2 linked regions of the Alligator mississippiensis genome follow. The main gene of each other region encodes a partner of the protein of the gene in region 2 in a complex. Links are inferred from orthologs where the notes say so. Each region holds a gene or a part of one and is shown on either strand. Other genes may lie near its edges.

Region 1 (7,179 bases), on a different chromosome or scaffold from region 2:
ATCAGCTCCGAGGCGCTCACCTCCATGTCCTGCCGGGGGGGCAGAAGGGGGTCACCCCCTGCCCCAGTGCCCCCCACCCCCCCAGCTGCACTCAGCTGCCCAGTGTAACCCAGGGCCCAGCTCCACCCCAGAAGCAGCTGCATCCCGGCAGGGTGTGGAAGGGGAAGCCTTTTGCAAAGGATTGTGGGATGGTTTGGGTCCATCTGGGCCCCATAGCTGCGGGGGCCCGGGGAGGTACTCACATCTCCAGCCAGCTGGGTGAAAAGCCTCCGAAACTGCCGCACCTCCTCGCTCTCATTGGCTTCGATGTTGGAGAAGTGGCTGCGGGGGGGCTGCGGGGGCAATGGGGGGTGTCAGGACATCTCTCCCCCTGCCTGGGGATGCATGAAGCCCACGAGGGGCTAGCTCCCACCCGCCAAAGGGTCGCAGACGCCCCCCCAATCCCTTCAGGCACTGATGTCAAGGTCTTGGGGAGGGGGCCTGGGGTCAACACCCCCACAGGGGGTTAAAGGGGCCGTGCACTGGATCTGAGCCCCTTTTAACTTGCCCCAGTCTTTACTGTAATTACCTGCCTACCATGCACACCCCTCATTAAAAATTCTCCTTCTAAAACTGGGGGGTGGGGGGCGCTGGCTGCCCCTAGTCTCTCTGCTCCTATTTCACAGGCTCCTGCCTCGGGTGGGCTCAAAAATCAGGAGCAGGTCTTATGTGGAAGGGGGAGGGGGGCAGCATGTGGTACACTAGAAGATACGGTAGCGAGGACCTTGTGTGTGTGTGGGGGGGGTCTAGGGACCCTGCATCCTACCGTACCTCCTCGCATACAACGCGCCACGTTGCAGCCCAGCTGTGGGCACAGGGGGAGGATGGCTGGGTCCTCAGGACAGCAGGTTTACCCCCCCCCCACATTAGGCAAGACATGCCAGGACCCCGGTGGACCCCCCCCCACCCCATCTCTCACGTGTCCACAGCAGGTCACTGGGTCTTACCGGGGGCTCTGGGTTATACTGGGCAGCCGCTTCACTGCGGGGTGGGGGGAGAGAGGGAGAGAGAGAGAGAGAGAGAGAGAGAGGAGCGGTGAGGAGAGACCAGGCCCATGCCTCAGTTTCCCCATGGCTACAACAAGCATCGGGCCCCCTCCCGCCGCACTCGGAGCTGTGCAAACACAGCAGGAGAGAGGCTGTGCCCGGCTCTGGGGGGTCCCGACTCCCCCAAAGGATGAAAACTACATGGGGGAAGGAAGACATGAACCCCACGCCCAGCCCCCGCCTCAGGCGCCGGACAAGGCAGGTTCAGAGGGGGAGACAGAAGAGGAAACTGAGGCATGACAGACCCGGTCGGTCTGAGGGGTGGAGTGGGATTGGGTCCTGGTGCTGGGCGCAGAAAGGCCGAGTCTCCCCCCAGAAGTGGGCGCATTTCAGAGCCAAGTGGGGGGGGAACACCGTGCAACCAGCCACAAGGGCCCACCCCAGAGGCGGGCGCATCCCAGCACCCGGCCCAACCAGTCCGAGACAAAGCAGGGTGGGGCTGTTCAGCGGACCGGAGCCCCCCGCCCCCCCATGCTGAAACCAACCCAGCCCCACCCAGAGACCTGGGGGGTAGCCAGCAGGAACAGTCCTAGCCCCGGGCCAGGCCCCACCCCAGAAATGGGTGCGTTTCATTGCCAGCTGGGGGAGGGGGGGTGAGGAGGAAATCCCTCCTTGAACAGCTGCCAGGCTCCAGCCAGGCCTGCCATGAGTTTGCCAGGTCTCAGCCCCCCCCCACGTTGAACGGGGGTCCGCAGGCTGGCCTCCCCCTCACCCCTGGGGGGAGAGGGTGTTGGGCTTAAGTGCTGTCCTGCCCCGTACCTCAGTCCCCCATCCCCCCCAACTGAACAACAGGGGGGTATTGCTGGGCCTCATGCATCAGTTTTCCCACCTGGAAAATGGGTGCACGTTACCTGGCTCTCCCCCTCTAGCACTCACCTGATGGCACTGATGACTCCCCCCAGGAAGTTCATGGCTCCTCCGCCACCGCCGCCGCCCCGGCCTCCGCCCCCACCCCCACCGCCACTCAGCAGCCCCCCGATGACGTTGCCAATGTTGCCCCCGATGCCGCCGCCGCCACCGCCGCCTCCTCCTCCACCGCCGCCGCCACCGAGGAAGCTCTTGACCAGGAACATGGCGCTGGGCTCAGCTGGGCACCGGCTGCAAGGCAAAGGCACCGGTCAGCTCCGCCGGCCTGGCCCCCCGGGCTCTCTGGGGGGTGCACCGGGGCTGGGGAGTGGGGAGGAGTGGTTAGAGCCCTGCTCGGCAGCGGGGGGGGGGCAGGATGCCCCGTTTCCTGGAAACAAAACACTGTCGGTGCTGGGGGGGGGCTCCGGGACCCCCTCTGCCTCCCCGATCCAGGATTGCCCCCCCATCCCGTCCGCCCAGCTCCGCCCCGGCCGCAGCCGCAGCCCAGGGCGGGATGACTCGGGGCGTCGGCTGCAGGGAGCGGCGGGGGGGAGGGGATCACTAGATCCCCGCCATGAGGCCGGGGGGGGGGGGTTGATCCCTGCCACCCCTCCCCCGTTGGAGAGAGGGGAGCGGATCCCCGGGTCTGTCCCGTCCCCCCACGAGCCATGGGGTGGATCTGGTGCGGGTAACGGCGGATCCCTTGGAAGGGATCCAGTGCGACAGGAGAACAGGAGGGTGCCGGGGGGGGATCCACTAGGATCGGCTCTATGCTGGGGATAGGGGGGGGTCGCGTGCAGAGAGGAGGCGGGGATCGGGGAGCAAAAGCGGGGGATCCCGGAAGAAAGATCGGGCGGGGGATCCGGGGGGGCCAGGGATCCACTGCGCAGAGAACCCCCGGATTCCGGGGGATCCGGTGCGGGGTAGTACTGCGGGGTGGGGGGGCAGGGATCCCGGGATCGCGTACCTGCGGGTCGGGGCTGCGCGGCTCGGCTCGGCTCGGCTCGGCTCAGCACGGCTCGGCTCGACTCCGCTCGGGCCGTGCGGGGGGCGGGGGGGCTGCCACGCCCGAGCCAATCACGCCGCCGCCGGGTCCTAGCGCCCGCGGCCCTGCTCCCGGATCCGGCGTCCGGCTCCACCCCCCATTGCCCCGCCCCGCCCCCCGGGCACCCGGCGTCCTGCCCCACCCCCCACACTGCCGCGGGCCGGACTTGGGGGGGGGGGGGGGAGGATTGCCAGTGGTTAGAGCAGACCCGGCCGGACTCCGGATCGGGCCCCCCAAGGGGGGGGGGGGGGGCTCTGACTCAGCCACTTGGCATGGGGGGGTGGGGCTGTGCGTCATCGCCCACGTGGTCGGTTCCCGCGGGGTCTGCGAGGCAAAGCGTTAACCCTTCCCGCGCCGCAGCCCCCGAGCTGGGGAAGGGGGGGCATCGCTTTAGTCCCGGCACGTGGGGAAACTGAGGCACGGCGGGGAGGGTGGGGGGGGAGACCCCAGGGGTCCGGGGCCCGATCCTGGCATCAGGGTGCAGGGGCGGGCTGTGGGGGGGCTCTTTGCCCCGGTCCCTAAAGACGGGTAAAATAAGGGTAAAATGAAGGGTCTTGGCCCCTCTGCCAGGCCGGCACTTTGCCGCGGTCCCTTGAGGCCCGCTGGAGGGGGGCGGGGGCAAGCTCTTCGCTTTTCCCCCGGGGCGGCACTTTTGCCCCGGTCCCTTACGGACCTGGCATCCCTCTTCGGCGCGGCCCGCACTTGACGCCGGTCCCTGGAGGGGGCTGTGGGCGGAGCTTATCGCCGGAAGCGGGGGCGGGTCTTTCCCGGCGGAAGCAGGGGGCGTGGCCCGCGCTGGCCCCGCCCCGGCCGTGACGCGCCCGGAAGAGGATGGCGGCGGCGGGGCCGTGCCGGGTGCTGCGGGTCGTGGCGTTGTTGCTGCCGCTGGCGCTGCCCGGGCCGGGCCGCGGGGCTGGGGCCGAGCCGGGCCGCTGGGACCTCGGCGCCACCCTCGTGAGTCACCCGGGGGCGGGGCCTGGCGCGACGGGGCGGGGCCTGGCGCGACATGGCCCCGCCCACAAGCGCGCACGTGGGCGTGGGCCCCGGGGGCGGGGGTCGCGACCCGGAGCGACCCCCCCGCCGGCCCCTATAGGCGAGGGTGTTCCCCTCTAGCCCCCCCCCGGCCCCTATAGACCTGGACCCCCACGAGACACCCCCTCCCCTATAGACAGGCACTTGCCCCTTGGTCCCCTGTAGCCATGGACCCCCCCCAGTTCCTTATGGAGAAGGATCTTCCTGGTCCCCTATAGGCAACCCCCCCCATCCCCTATAGGCAACCCCCCCCATGGTCCCTAATGGAGACGTCCCCTCCTTTTGGTGCCTTATCGATATAGGTCCCTTTTTGGTCCCCTATAGACGTGCATCCCCCGATCCCTCTGTAGATCAGGATCTACCTTGTGCGTGGTCCCCTATAGACACCGCCCAGTCCCCTACAGATACGGACCCCCCCCCCGGTCCCTTATAGACAAAGATGGTTTCCTATCTCAGTCCCCTATAGACGAGGACTATCCTTTTATCCTGTATAGACATAAACACCCCCCATGTTCCCTATACGCAAGGAACTGCCCCCCCATCCCCTATAGATAAGGAACTCCCCCTGCCAGTCTCCTGTAGACATGGACTCCCCCAGTCTGCTATAGGAGTGGACCCCCCCACTCACCTATAGACAAGGACCCCTCGCTTCGATCACCGACGGACGTGGCCCCATATAGGCGCTCTCCGTACCGTATAGAGAGGGTCCCGGTTGCATTGCGAGGGAGGGGCTCTATAGGAGGAGGGCTGTCCCAGGCCCCTATAGATGTGGGAATGGAGAGACAGCAGGAAGCCTGCTTTGCCCCAGGGCATTGTGGGAAGTCAGAAATTTCTCTACCATATCTTTGGGGGAGATCACTGCCTGTTTAACATGCAAATTTATTGCTGGCTCATTTGCATAAGTGGGTGGTAGCCTCCAGTTGCCCAGCGATACGCCCCCAAGCCAGGCGTCCTGCTGCGGGGGGGGGGTTGGGGGGGTTGTTGGCAGGGCCAGATCCTGGTGGGGGAAACTGAGGCACACGGCGGGGTGGAGCAGAGCTGGGAATGGGACCCAGGAGTGTGTGCGTGTGTCCGTCCCCCACCCCCCCCCGAGCAAGAGGCCTGATCCTGCCCGTCTCTGCCCCCAGAACCTCACGGAGCGGCTGTTCATCTTCCCCAAGACCATGTTCGACCAGTCCGTCATCAAGGGTGAGCGCTGCGGCCGGCGCCTCGAGGGGCAGGGAGCGGAAAGCAGAGCAGGGGCTAGGAAGCAGCATGGGATGGGGCAGAAAGCAGAGCACGGGAGCGGGTTGGGGGGTGCCTGCAGCGGGGGGTCACTGACCAGCCCCTCGTTAACAGTGGTGCTGTCCTGCCCCCACGGCCTCAGCCTGAACGTCACCTGGTACCTGCGCAGCTCCCGCTGTCACGACGAGGTCGCCCTCAATGTGAGCCCCCCGGCCGGGGTCGGGGGGGGGGGGTTGGGAAGACTCCCGGGCTCTTTCAGAGGGAGGTGGGGCTTGGGGGGGTCGCTCTCCCTGCACCCCCGTCTCACACCCTTCCCCCCCGCCCCCAGGAGAACAAAGCAGGCTTCTACCTGGCCAACCCCGACCGCGAGCTGGTGCCAGGGGGGGCCGGGCAGTACGTGCTCCATCACTTCCCCCTCCTCAACTGCAGCCACATGTCCAGCCACGAGGTGAGAGCCGAGCCGGGGGGGCGGGGGTCCCTGGCCGTGGGGGGGGCGGGGGGACGACACCGCCCCCCCCCCCGGCACCTGCTGCTCTTCTCACCGAGCCTCTGTGCCCTTCCTCCAGCTGAGCACGGAGCGACTGCCCTCCCCCACCCGGCTGAAGCCCTACAGTGACCCCAAGGTAGGGAACTCGGGTGTCCGAGTCCTGCCCGCGTCCCCCCTCCCGCCTTGTTCCCTGCTGCCTCTGGCCCTTGGGGTGGGAGTGGTGCTGGCTGGGTGTTAACGAGCCAGCTGTAATTAGCTTCCTAGCCTGTCAGGCTTCCCAAGCTAAGCTGGGTCAGGCTTGTTCAGAGCTTGAAGGGGAGCCCAATGCATGGGATGCATTTGGGGGCTCCTCCAGGCTTCTTCTTTCACCTCAACCAGCTTCATGTTAAACCCGTTGGGCCCTGGCCCCCACTGGGAAGCAGCCCCAGCTCCTCCCTGCCCTGCCTCAGCTTCCCCCACCTAGGCCAGTGCACCCCCCACCCCCCTCCTCGCCCTGCAGCATTGATGTATGTGGTGGAAGCAGTGGGATCCCTGCCCTGGGGCCTCTCTCACACCCCTGTTTGCTTTGCATGCCCAGAGGGTTCAGCTGAAGGAAAGCACCAGCAGCGGGAAGAAGGTGGGTCTTGGCTTTACCCCCTTGTTAACGACTCTCCCCCTTAGGGAGTCCCGGGGGCAGGATCTTCCCATGCTGCCCCCCCCCCCCTTTTGCATGTCTCTGTGGCAGACCAGGGGCCTCGCTGGGAGGGGGGTTTAGTGCAGAAGTTGCTTCTCTGGGCAGCCAGGGGCTGAGTAGAAGAAGCGCGTTACGTTACCGTAATTCTTCATGTACCGCTCACCTGTCTTGTGTGAGCACCTCATTAACCCCCTGGGAGGTAAAAGGATTAGTAGGAATCAGGATTATGAGCCACTGCCTCTGCCAACCAGCTGCTCTTCAAGCGTGGCTGGGGCAGGAATCAGAGCGGGGTACGACTGCACCACTGCCCTCCCCCCAGCCCTCCCTTGTCCAGGAAGTGTCTACTGCCAGTCTTGTGGGATGCCACACGCTTCCTGGACGCTCTGTCTTTCCAGGAGAACTTCCTCTGTGGCACCAGGCTGTGCCTCTGGAAACATCTCGTTTCCCTCTGTGCTGCTTTCCAAAAACAAGGGGTGGGGCTTATGGGGGGGCACTTGGTACACGGGGAAATATGGTAATGAGGCAGCTTGAATACAAGCTGTTTTCATGCGTGGATGTTGCTGTAACCGCCCAGTGGATGGGTGAGGCGAAGCTTGGATTCCAGGTGGGGTAAACTGAGGCAAAGGTACCGCTCTCTCTCTCTCCAGCAGCCCGTGGGCATTCAGCGGAGGGAAGCCCTGGCCCCCCAGGGTGAGAAGTCCCCCAAGGACAAGGTCGAAGGGCAGAAGCTGGTGCCCACTCGAGCAACTGAGCCCCCCGCCATGATAGGGAAGCGAAACCAGAGCCG
Region 2 (7,756 bases):
TTAATGCTGTTTTTAGTACCCTTATCTTGTTCTTAACTCTGCCCCCATGCTTTAGCCCTTCAGGTCAAAAACAGCCTAGTAGGCTCAACAGGATACCAATGCCAGAGTCCTCAGAACTAATATCTACCACATCCTCCCTTTACAACCCTCTAGTTTTTGCCAAGTGAGTTTTTACCTTGAACCAGCCTTTCCATATTATACCAACATATTCATGCAATAAACAGCCTCTTAATCAGGGTTATATACTGTATTCATAAACTCCAACTCTGTCAAAGGAGGACACAGCAAACACCTAACTTACAGCTGTTTTAATTGTTTTAATGTCTTGGATGAAGTCTAACATTAGCCCATAACATTTTTATATTATACTATATATAAAGTTAAAAAAATACAGCAAGCAAAATACTAAACTTTTCATTTTACAATTTACCTTGAATTTATGCAAAGTAGGCAAAGAGAAGAGATACCCATGGTGTACAATTTCAGTTTAAGACTTTCATCACTTTAACATGCTCTATACAGCGTACGAAAGTGCCAGAAAACATGCTCTTTGGTAGCCACACTCACCAACTCTACTTTCTCAACCAGCAAGATATACAAGATTTACAAAAACAAGTGACCCAAGTAAAAAGTTCTCCAGGCTCAAGGACAACATGCTAACAGTGAAACCAATAAACAACAAATCTAATATAAGCCCAAAAGGGAGGAAGTCCCAAAGCAAGGGGCTAGTGAAAAAAAAAAAAATCTATTATCCACTTCAAAAAGCCCAGTTCTTTTTTGAACCAGTTACCAACTAAAACCCAGCACGACAACTACTTCATGCCTTTTGCTTATTCCCCTTCTAAGTTTTGTATGTCTTTCCTTACTTAAGTTATAAGGTCTTCAGGGAAGAACTCTCTCTTACTAGGGGACTGCACAATATCTCACACAACAAGAGTCCAATTTCAGTTGGAGTCATTAAGGGTACTGTGATGCAAATATTTTTGATAATTGATTTCCCATGAAACATGAGTGCAAGTGATTTTCTGACCCTGAAACACATGCTTAGTTTGTTTTAGATTGCTTGCTTTTAGATCCAAAACTCAGTGACTCAGGACAGCAGGGACCCTCCTAGTTTTGTGTATGGATTTTACCGCATGTGTTAGCATTGCACAAAGTTTAATGCAATACTTGCACCTAAATCCAGCTATAACAGCCAACCCAACATCCAGCCCAACACCGGGACTCACAGTTCTAACCACCTTTCATTGACACTGGCTAACTGGTTTGAATTCTGACTCACAATTAGGATTGAGGCTGAAAACTGTTATAACTGTATAATTAGATATTTATGTTCCAGCAAACTCTTCGCAAAGCACATCTAATGTGTCCTAGGATCAGCAATGGTTGCAGGTTTTACTTTAGGAAATTAGTGAATTGAATGTTTGATGGCACAGACACCCTACAACTGCTTCCCTCTGTGACTGACATCAAATTAGAAAAAGCAGGCCTTTTGGAAGATGTAATTGAAGGTTTAGTCAGAGTAATCATTGGATGCTTAAGTACAGAATACAGATTATGCCAAAACTCAAAAACTTGTGGTTTACCTAGGGAGGTCCCAGAAAGATAGAAAGAGTCATTGTAGATCAAGGAACTCCCCACAGTTAGGAACAAGTTTACGAAGCCTATTATCACGCAGGAACTTACTCAGAAAAAGCCACCCAAAACTAACTCTGCCTTAACAACAAGATCTCTCATTTATTTCGGCTTCCCAAATGTTTTGGGCTAAAAGAGAATGAATGCAAGCTCTGTTATAAAGCTATGAAAAGCAGCAGCAAAACTTGTAAAGACAAATCTTTTTCATGTGACAGGTCTTTGCCAAAGTCTCACGTGAGACTTCATGGGCTCTGAAAAGACAAGACCCAACTTTAACAGGTTTTCTACCCAAAATAGGTGCAGGACCTTTGGCAAAACCAAGCCATGGCAAATACAAAAGGGGGTGGGGGGGAAGAGAAAACTGCACCTGAGCCCCTTTTACGCTTGACAAAACGGTGGCACTGGAGCCGCAGGATCCTTTCCGAGCTGCTAGATATCCCGCTCAACATCGGCTTTTAGCTTGAAAGACAAGAGGACGAAGGAACAGGCTACCCAGAGAGAGCTTGGGAGTCTCCATCCTCAGAGGCTTTGAAGATCCGAGTAGATGAAGCCCTGGCTGGGATGACCTAGCTGGGGCTGGTCCTGCTGAGAGCAGGGGGTTGGACTAGACCTCCCGACGTCCCTTCCAGCCCTCATTTTGTAGGGCTCCAGACAGCCGAGAGCGGCCTCTCCTCTGGGCGCAGGTCCGGAGCCAGGCACTAGGCGCCCGCGCCGCGCCGCATCGCGAGCCTCCTGGCACGGAGCCGCCTCCCCTGCGGCCTAGGTGTGCCCCGGCGGCCTCCGCCCCCAGCCCGCAAAGCGCAGCCCGGGTCTTTACCGTGGCGTACCACCAGCGTGCGAAAGCCATCGCCGCCCGCCGGATCGTCCTCGCAGCTGGAGCCGCAATGGGAGCACGGAGCCCAGGCCCAGCCCCGGCCCGCCCCACCCCACCCCACCCCGCCCTGCCCTGCCCTGCCCTGCAGCTACGGGCGGCGCGGCGCTACCCCGCCCCGCCCCGCCTCACACAGCTATGCAGGGCAGGGGCAGGCGCAAGGGCACGGACAGGGTGGGGCCGCGCGCGTCGCTATGGCTGCGGGAGGGGAGGGGCGGAGCTGCCCGCGCCCCACGGGCCGGGGTCGTCCTCCCCCTCACGCCCTGCGCCGGCTGCATGGGGGCGTCGCCGGGCTCGCCTCACGCCCCCTCGCCGCGGCGCCCCCCGCCCCGCCCCGCTCCGCTCACCCCCGGCGGCCGCGCGGCGGCGGGCCCCCGTTTCCCTCGGCCCGGCTGGGACATGTCTCGGCGCTGGCGGAGCGAGGCAGGAGGAAGCGGCGGGCTGGCTCCACCGGGCGTGAAGCGGTTTTTCCGATGCGCCCCGAGCCAGAGCTCCCCGCTAGTCCCTCCTCTTCCTGCGGGTGCTCCGCACCACTCCTCTTTCGGGGCCTCGCCCGCACCAGGCTGGGGGGGGGAGGGATGTGGCTGAGGGCAAGATGCCCGCTGGCGGTTTGTCTTGGCGAAGACACCAGCTCCCCGCTAGGCGACCTGAGAGCCGGCCTCAGTCGCTAGCAGAGACGGGACAGGAGTTGTTGCTTTCTCCTCCTCTCTCTGAGACAAAGCTCCGGCTTCATGACACAAGGCCACCCCCGCCCCCAACTCACCAACCTAGAAGTCGGATCCGATCGGCTGGTTTGTGTTAGGCCTGGCCTCACCTCGGAAAGAAACTTATCTTGGCTAGTTTTAGGGAAACGTTGCCGAGAAGATCGCTTTTCCTTCCTCCTATCCCACCTCCCCAAATGTCCGTGTTTTTTTTTAAAGTACCAAAATCACTCTAAAAACAGGAGGAAAACTAGATCTCTGCCCAGAGTTCAGACCGAACTTGGACTCTTTTCAAGACTTCGAAGGGAAAAAAAAGATGTTGAGAGGGTTACTCTTTCAGGTTTTACATCTCTTGCGCACTTTCCAGATTTAGTTCCCAGTGGAAATCCTGACATAAAACTTCTTGTGAGAAGCCAGGAGTTTTTTTGCAGGTACCTTTTATTGGATTGGCTGGAAAGTAGTTGGGGGAAGATGCTGGACAAGCTTTCAAGCATAACGTGCCCCTAACTTCAGACTTGTGGGGTAACCCCACAGCTCCAGGCTGTCTCCGCGCTGTTCTGCTTTGTGTTGCTAGAGCTTGAACCAGCTCTTGGTCGTGGGAGATCTCTCCTGCCAGCACATCTCAATCTCACAGCAGGACCGTCCCTAGGGGGGGCAAATCGGGGCAACTGCCTGGGGCCCCATGCTTTGGGGGGCCCACGCAGAGCTGAGCAGCCATGGCTCCTCCTGCAGGGCCCGCCTAGTGCTAGTGACTCCACGCCGCCACTTGCTTCATGTCCGGCTGCTTGCCACCCCCCGCCGCTGCCACCACCAGCTTCTTCACATCTAGGTCCCATGCAGACTGCTATTCCCTAGGTCCTGCACCCTTCTAGGGTTGTCACTGCTCACAGGCACTTTGACCAGACCTTATAGTTTGTGAAGGAGATCCAGCAAGGCCTTGGGGTTCCCTGGGTTTGTGAAAATAGGTCTGCTGGCCCCAAGGGACCAAAACATCTGCTGCTGCCAGCTGCTGCTGCAGAATCACTCTCGAGACAAAATGTAAAAGGAAAAGGCCACAACAGGTTTATAGGCAGACAAGGTTCTTGGGGTAAATCCAAAATCTTTTTTCAGACCAACTCAGATCATTGGAAAAATTCTTCTTAAGCTTTCGGGCACAAACCCCCTTCACCAGGCTGAGGAAGCATCTACAGATGGTCTGTGCTCTTCCTGGATGAAGTGAATGAAGAGGTCACTTTACCACTCCATCCAGGAAAAGCAGAGACCATCTGCACATACTGCCTCAGCCTGACGAAGGGGGTTTGTGCCCAAAAGCTAACTAAGAAGAATTTTTCCAACTATTTGAGTTGGTCTGATAAAACCTTGTCTGCTTATGTCCTTAGATCAAGACAGCTACAACCTACACCCCTGAAACCACAGGTTTATTGCCTGCAAGTCCTACTACACATTCAAATTAAAGCCAGATAGAAACTAACTACAGAGCTGTCACACAGTTTCAAGCACTATCTTTATAGCTGGTTGGCTCTTTTTATAGGTGGAGACTCATTTTTATGGTGTGATTAGTACTTTACACATGTAGCTAGTTTAAATTTATTGTGCCATTTGCCAGTTAATTGTGTGATAACTGCTTTGCACTTGTGGCCAGTCTTGCTTTGCACAGGTGACCAGTCTAAATTTATTGGGCAATTAACCAGTTAATTGCATAATATAAGTAATGTGTAGCAGGGGCTTAAGAGAAAAACATAGGGAAAAGATCTGGACACAAAAATACAGAAATAAAACAGAAATGCCTCACTATTCCCTTTTAACTTGAAATAGCTGCCTGGTCTTCTGCTTCAAACAGCTAGCAATCTGCCAACTTCTGGGGTGATCCTTCAACCTCCTTGCTCAGATCTGAAGTTTGGCACTTGGAGTCTTAAAGCTTGATTAACATTTAGGAGCATAACTAACAAGTTTTGCACACTGGGCAAAACGTCCCTGGGTGGCTGTCAGATTCTGAGCACCAGAAATTGAGGTTGGAGGAGAAAAGAAAGGAAAAAGGTCAGTCTTACCTACTCCAGGGACTCAAAGACTGCTGCTGCTGCTGCTGCCATGTCCCTGCACCTAGCCCCTACAGCCAGGGGCATGGACTGCTCTTGCCAGCAAAGTCTTGGGGAGAAGTTACCATTCCAGCACCAAATCCATCTAAATTAGATCCTGGGGTTAGTATCTCTCTCACCCCCTGCTTCTGCAGTTAAGCTGCTGCTAACCAGGGTTGCCAACTGTCAGTAAAACATCAGGCTAAAAATGGCTGTCAGTAAAGTCCACAAAAAACCAAACCATACTGGCGGAAATATAAGTGGGGGGGGGGGTCGACAGGGAAGTCCCATGTACAAATAAACTGAGGGCCTTCTTCTGACCGCACCCCATAGTAAAAACTAGCCACAAGCAAGAATTATGCCCTGTCTAAACTGTAGACAGCTTGAGTATGCAGCAGAGATAGGATGGTGGGTGGGATGGAAAGGAGAAGATAAAGGTGAGGGGATGTCTATAAGTAGTTTAATATATGAATTTAACATAAATCTTTTGTGTGCTCATCGAAAAAATAACTGGTCACAGCAACAGGTCTAACAGATTGTACTGCATTCCTGAGGCTGCAGTGCATAGGATACTCCCTGCTAGCACAGTACTACAGGAAGAGGACAGAACCTGCTTCAGTTCCACACCCTGTATTGCCCTGCTCTTGATAGCTGAAATTTGAGCTCTAGGACTGAAACCATGTGATAAGGCAAGACTATGAGAAACCCCAATAATTGAGGTCATTAGCCTATCAATTATTGATGAGTGGTCAATGTAAGTGCAAATCCCTTAGGCACATGCCTAACTAAGCATTAGAGCAATCCCATTGACAAGTTAGATGTGTATGTAAATAGTCAGACATCTCTCAGAGAGCCCATGGAGCCTTCCAGTTCATTAAATAGTTACTCAAATAGATCTCAACCTACCTCCAAAGTTGTATAACTAAAATGGTATTCATACGTTTGTTTATGTGTTTGGGTAAAACAGTATTTATATGCACAATACAAATGTATATTTTCTAAGTACAGTTATGTATCCCTAACTATGCTTATAACTGGACAGGTTCTGATGATTAAATCTAATCCCTTGCTGTTGCAAGCAAATACAACCTAGAAACTCTTTCATATGCTGATTGTAACAGGGTTCCACTCTAGGGGTGGCTGCAATGCCCCTGGAGCCCTCTTAGCCACTGTGTAGTCTGGCTGTCTTTGGGTATTCTCTCCTGCCACACCTTGATGTTATTCTCTTTTAGAAAAAGGGAGGCTGCCCCAGGGCTTCCCAAGCCTGATCTCATCTCATGAATTTAGGTTTCTGTGCTTACTGGCTTAAGGGCTAATTACATGGCTCCAACCTCCCCTTACACCACACTCACACCTAGCATATGTCAGGAGGAATGAGTGTCACGTGCCCCTCCTGGGCTATGTGATCCCAGCCCCAGTTCTCACCCCTCTCATACTAGAAGTACCTTGGCCCCCTTGGTCCCCAGTTGTGACCTCCTAGTCTTTGGCCCTTTTCTCTGGGCCCTGGCCCTACTCCTAGGCCAGTCAGGACTCATGAGCAGGGACCTGGGTTTGCCGTTTGCTTTGGGGAAACACAGATTTTCTCCTTTGAAGGAGAAAAGCGCAGATTTTCTCCTTTGAGGAAGAAAAATGCAGGAAACTGTGGGTTTCCATTTGCAGGCTGGCAGAGTTCCAGTCTGCAAGGGGCTTCTTGGAGCTGGAGGGAGCAGGATGCAGGGGGCAGGGAGTGCTATGTGCATGTGCACACACACACATGCACGTGGCAGCCAGGCAGTCTGGTGGAGAGCTGCTCCTTCCAGGTAAGTCTAAGCAGGCAGGAGTGGGAGGACACAGACAATGTGTAGAGGGGCAGGGGGGCACAGGCAACATGGTGGGAGGGAGGCAGAAGTAGGGTAGCGGTTATAGGCAACTCAGCATAGAGGCATAGACGATGTGGCAGGGGCCAGGGGGGGACCATGTGCTCTGCCAGATTTCTGTGCCCACAGCGAGGTGTGGGGCATGGGGTCATAGCCTGGCTGGACGAGGTCTGGGCAGGAGCTACCTCCACAGCCCAGTGAGCAGGACTTAGCATAGGAGGAAGTGCCATACCACCCTGACCACCAAGGTGAGGTGCACCCTGCCCACCTGGCAGCAGTGGGGAGCACAACTCCACACTGCTGCCACTGCTGCGCCTCACCTTGGTGGCTATGGTGGAGCTGAGCTCCCTTCTGCACTGAGTCCCTCCTGCTGGGACGCAGAGGTAGCTCCTGCCCTGCTCTGGTATGGCCTGGCCTGGCTGCAGCCCTACACCCTGCTGAGGGCACAGAAATCTGCAGGGGGCACCACCACCCCCTCAACGCATCGCCTGTGTCCACACACCCCCTTCCCCACACACCCACTCCCTTCCTCACACACTGAGGGGGGCTGGGGGCAGGGAGCAGCAGGTCAGGAGTGAGGGGCACCAGCAGGGCTGGTGTAGCTATGGGTTGAGAGTG

What was found.
Region 1: the proteins of CAST (region 2) and CAPNS1 are in contact, whole or in part, in a crystal structure (PDB 3BOW), measured with the Rattus norvegicus proteins. The link is inferred for Alligator mississippiensis from reciprocal best matches to the Homo sapiens genes CAST and CAPNS1. Residues at the interface, in NP_445747.2 of Rattus norvegicus: Pro652, Ile653, Asp654, Ala655, Leu656, Ser657, Asp659, Leu660, Asp661; in NP_058814.1 of Rattus norvegicus: Phe103, Leu106, Gln109, Leu110, Ile125, Lys128, Val129, Arg132, His133, Leu136, Phe166, Trp170, Lys174, Gln177, Lys181.

What each region holds. Positions count from the first base shown.
Region 1 is NC_081838.1:1,008,526-1,015,704, reverse strand, and holds the start of CAPNS1 (calpain small subunit 1), read right to left. Parts: upstream 3,009-7,179; 5' UTR 2,899-3,008; intron 2,184-2,898; 5' UTR 2,159-2,183; coding exon 1,962-2,158; intron 1,021-1,961; coding exon 987-1,020; intron 333-986; coding exon 243-332; intron 30-242; coding exon 1-29. Other genes in the region: transmembrane protein 87A, read left to right, coding at 3,808-3,930, 5,136-5,196, 5,347-5,432, 5,561-5,680, 5,799-5,855, 6,297-6,335, 7,040-7,179. UniProt on the Homo sapiens protein: Regulatory subunit of the calcium-regulated non-lysosomal thiol-protease which catalyzes limited proteolysis of substrates involved in cytoskeletal remodeling and signal transduction. Essential for embryonic development.
Region 2 is NC_081826.1:238,529,181-238,536,936, forward strand, and holds the start of CAST (calpastatin), read right to left. Parts: upstream 3,013-7,756; 5' UTR 2,908-3,012; coding exon 2,854-2,907; intron 2,557-2,853; exon of another isoform or gene 2,483-2,556; coding exon of another isoform or gene 2,453-2,482; intron 1-2,452.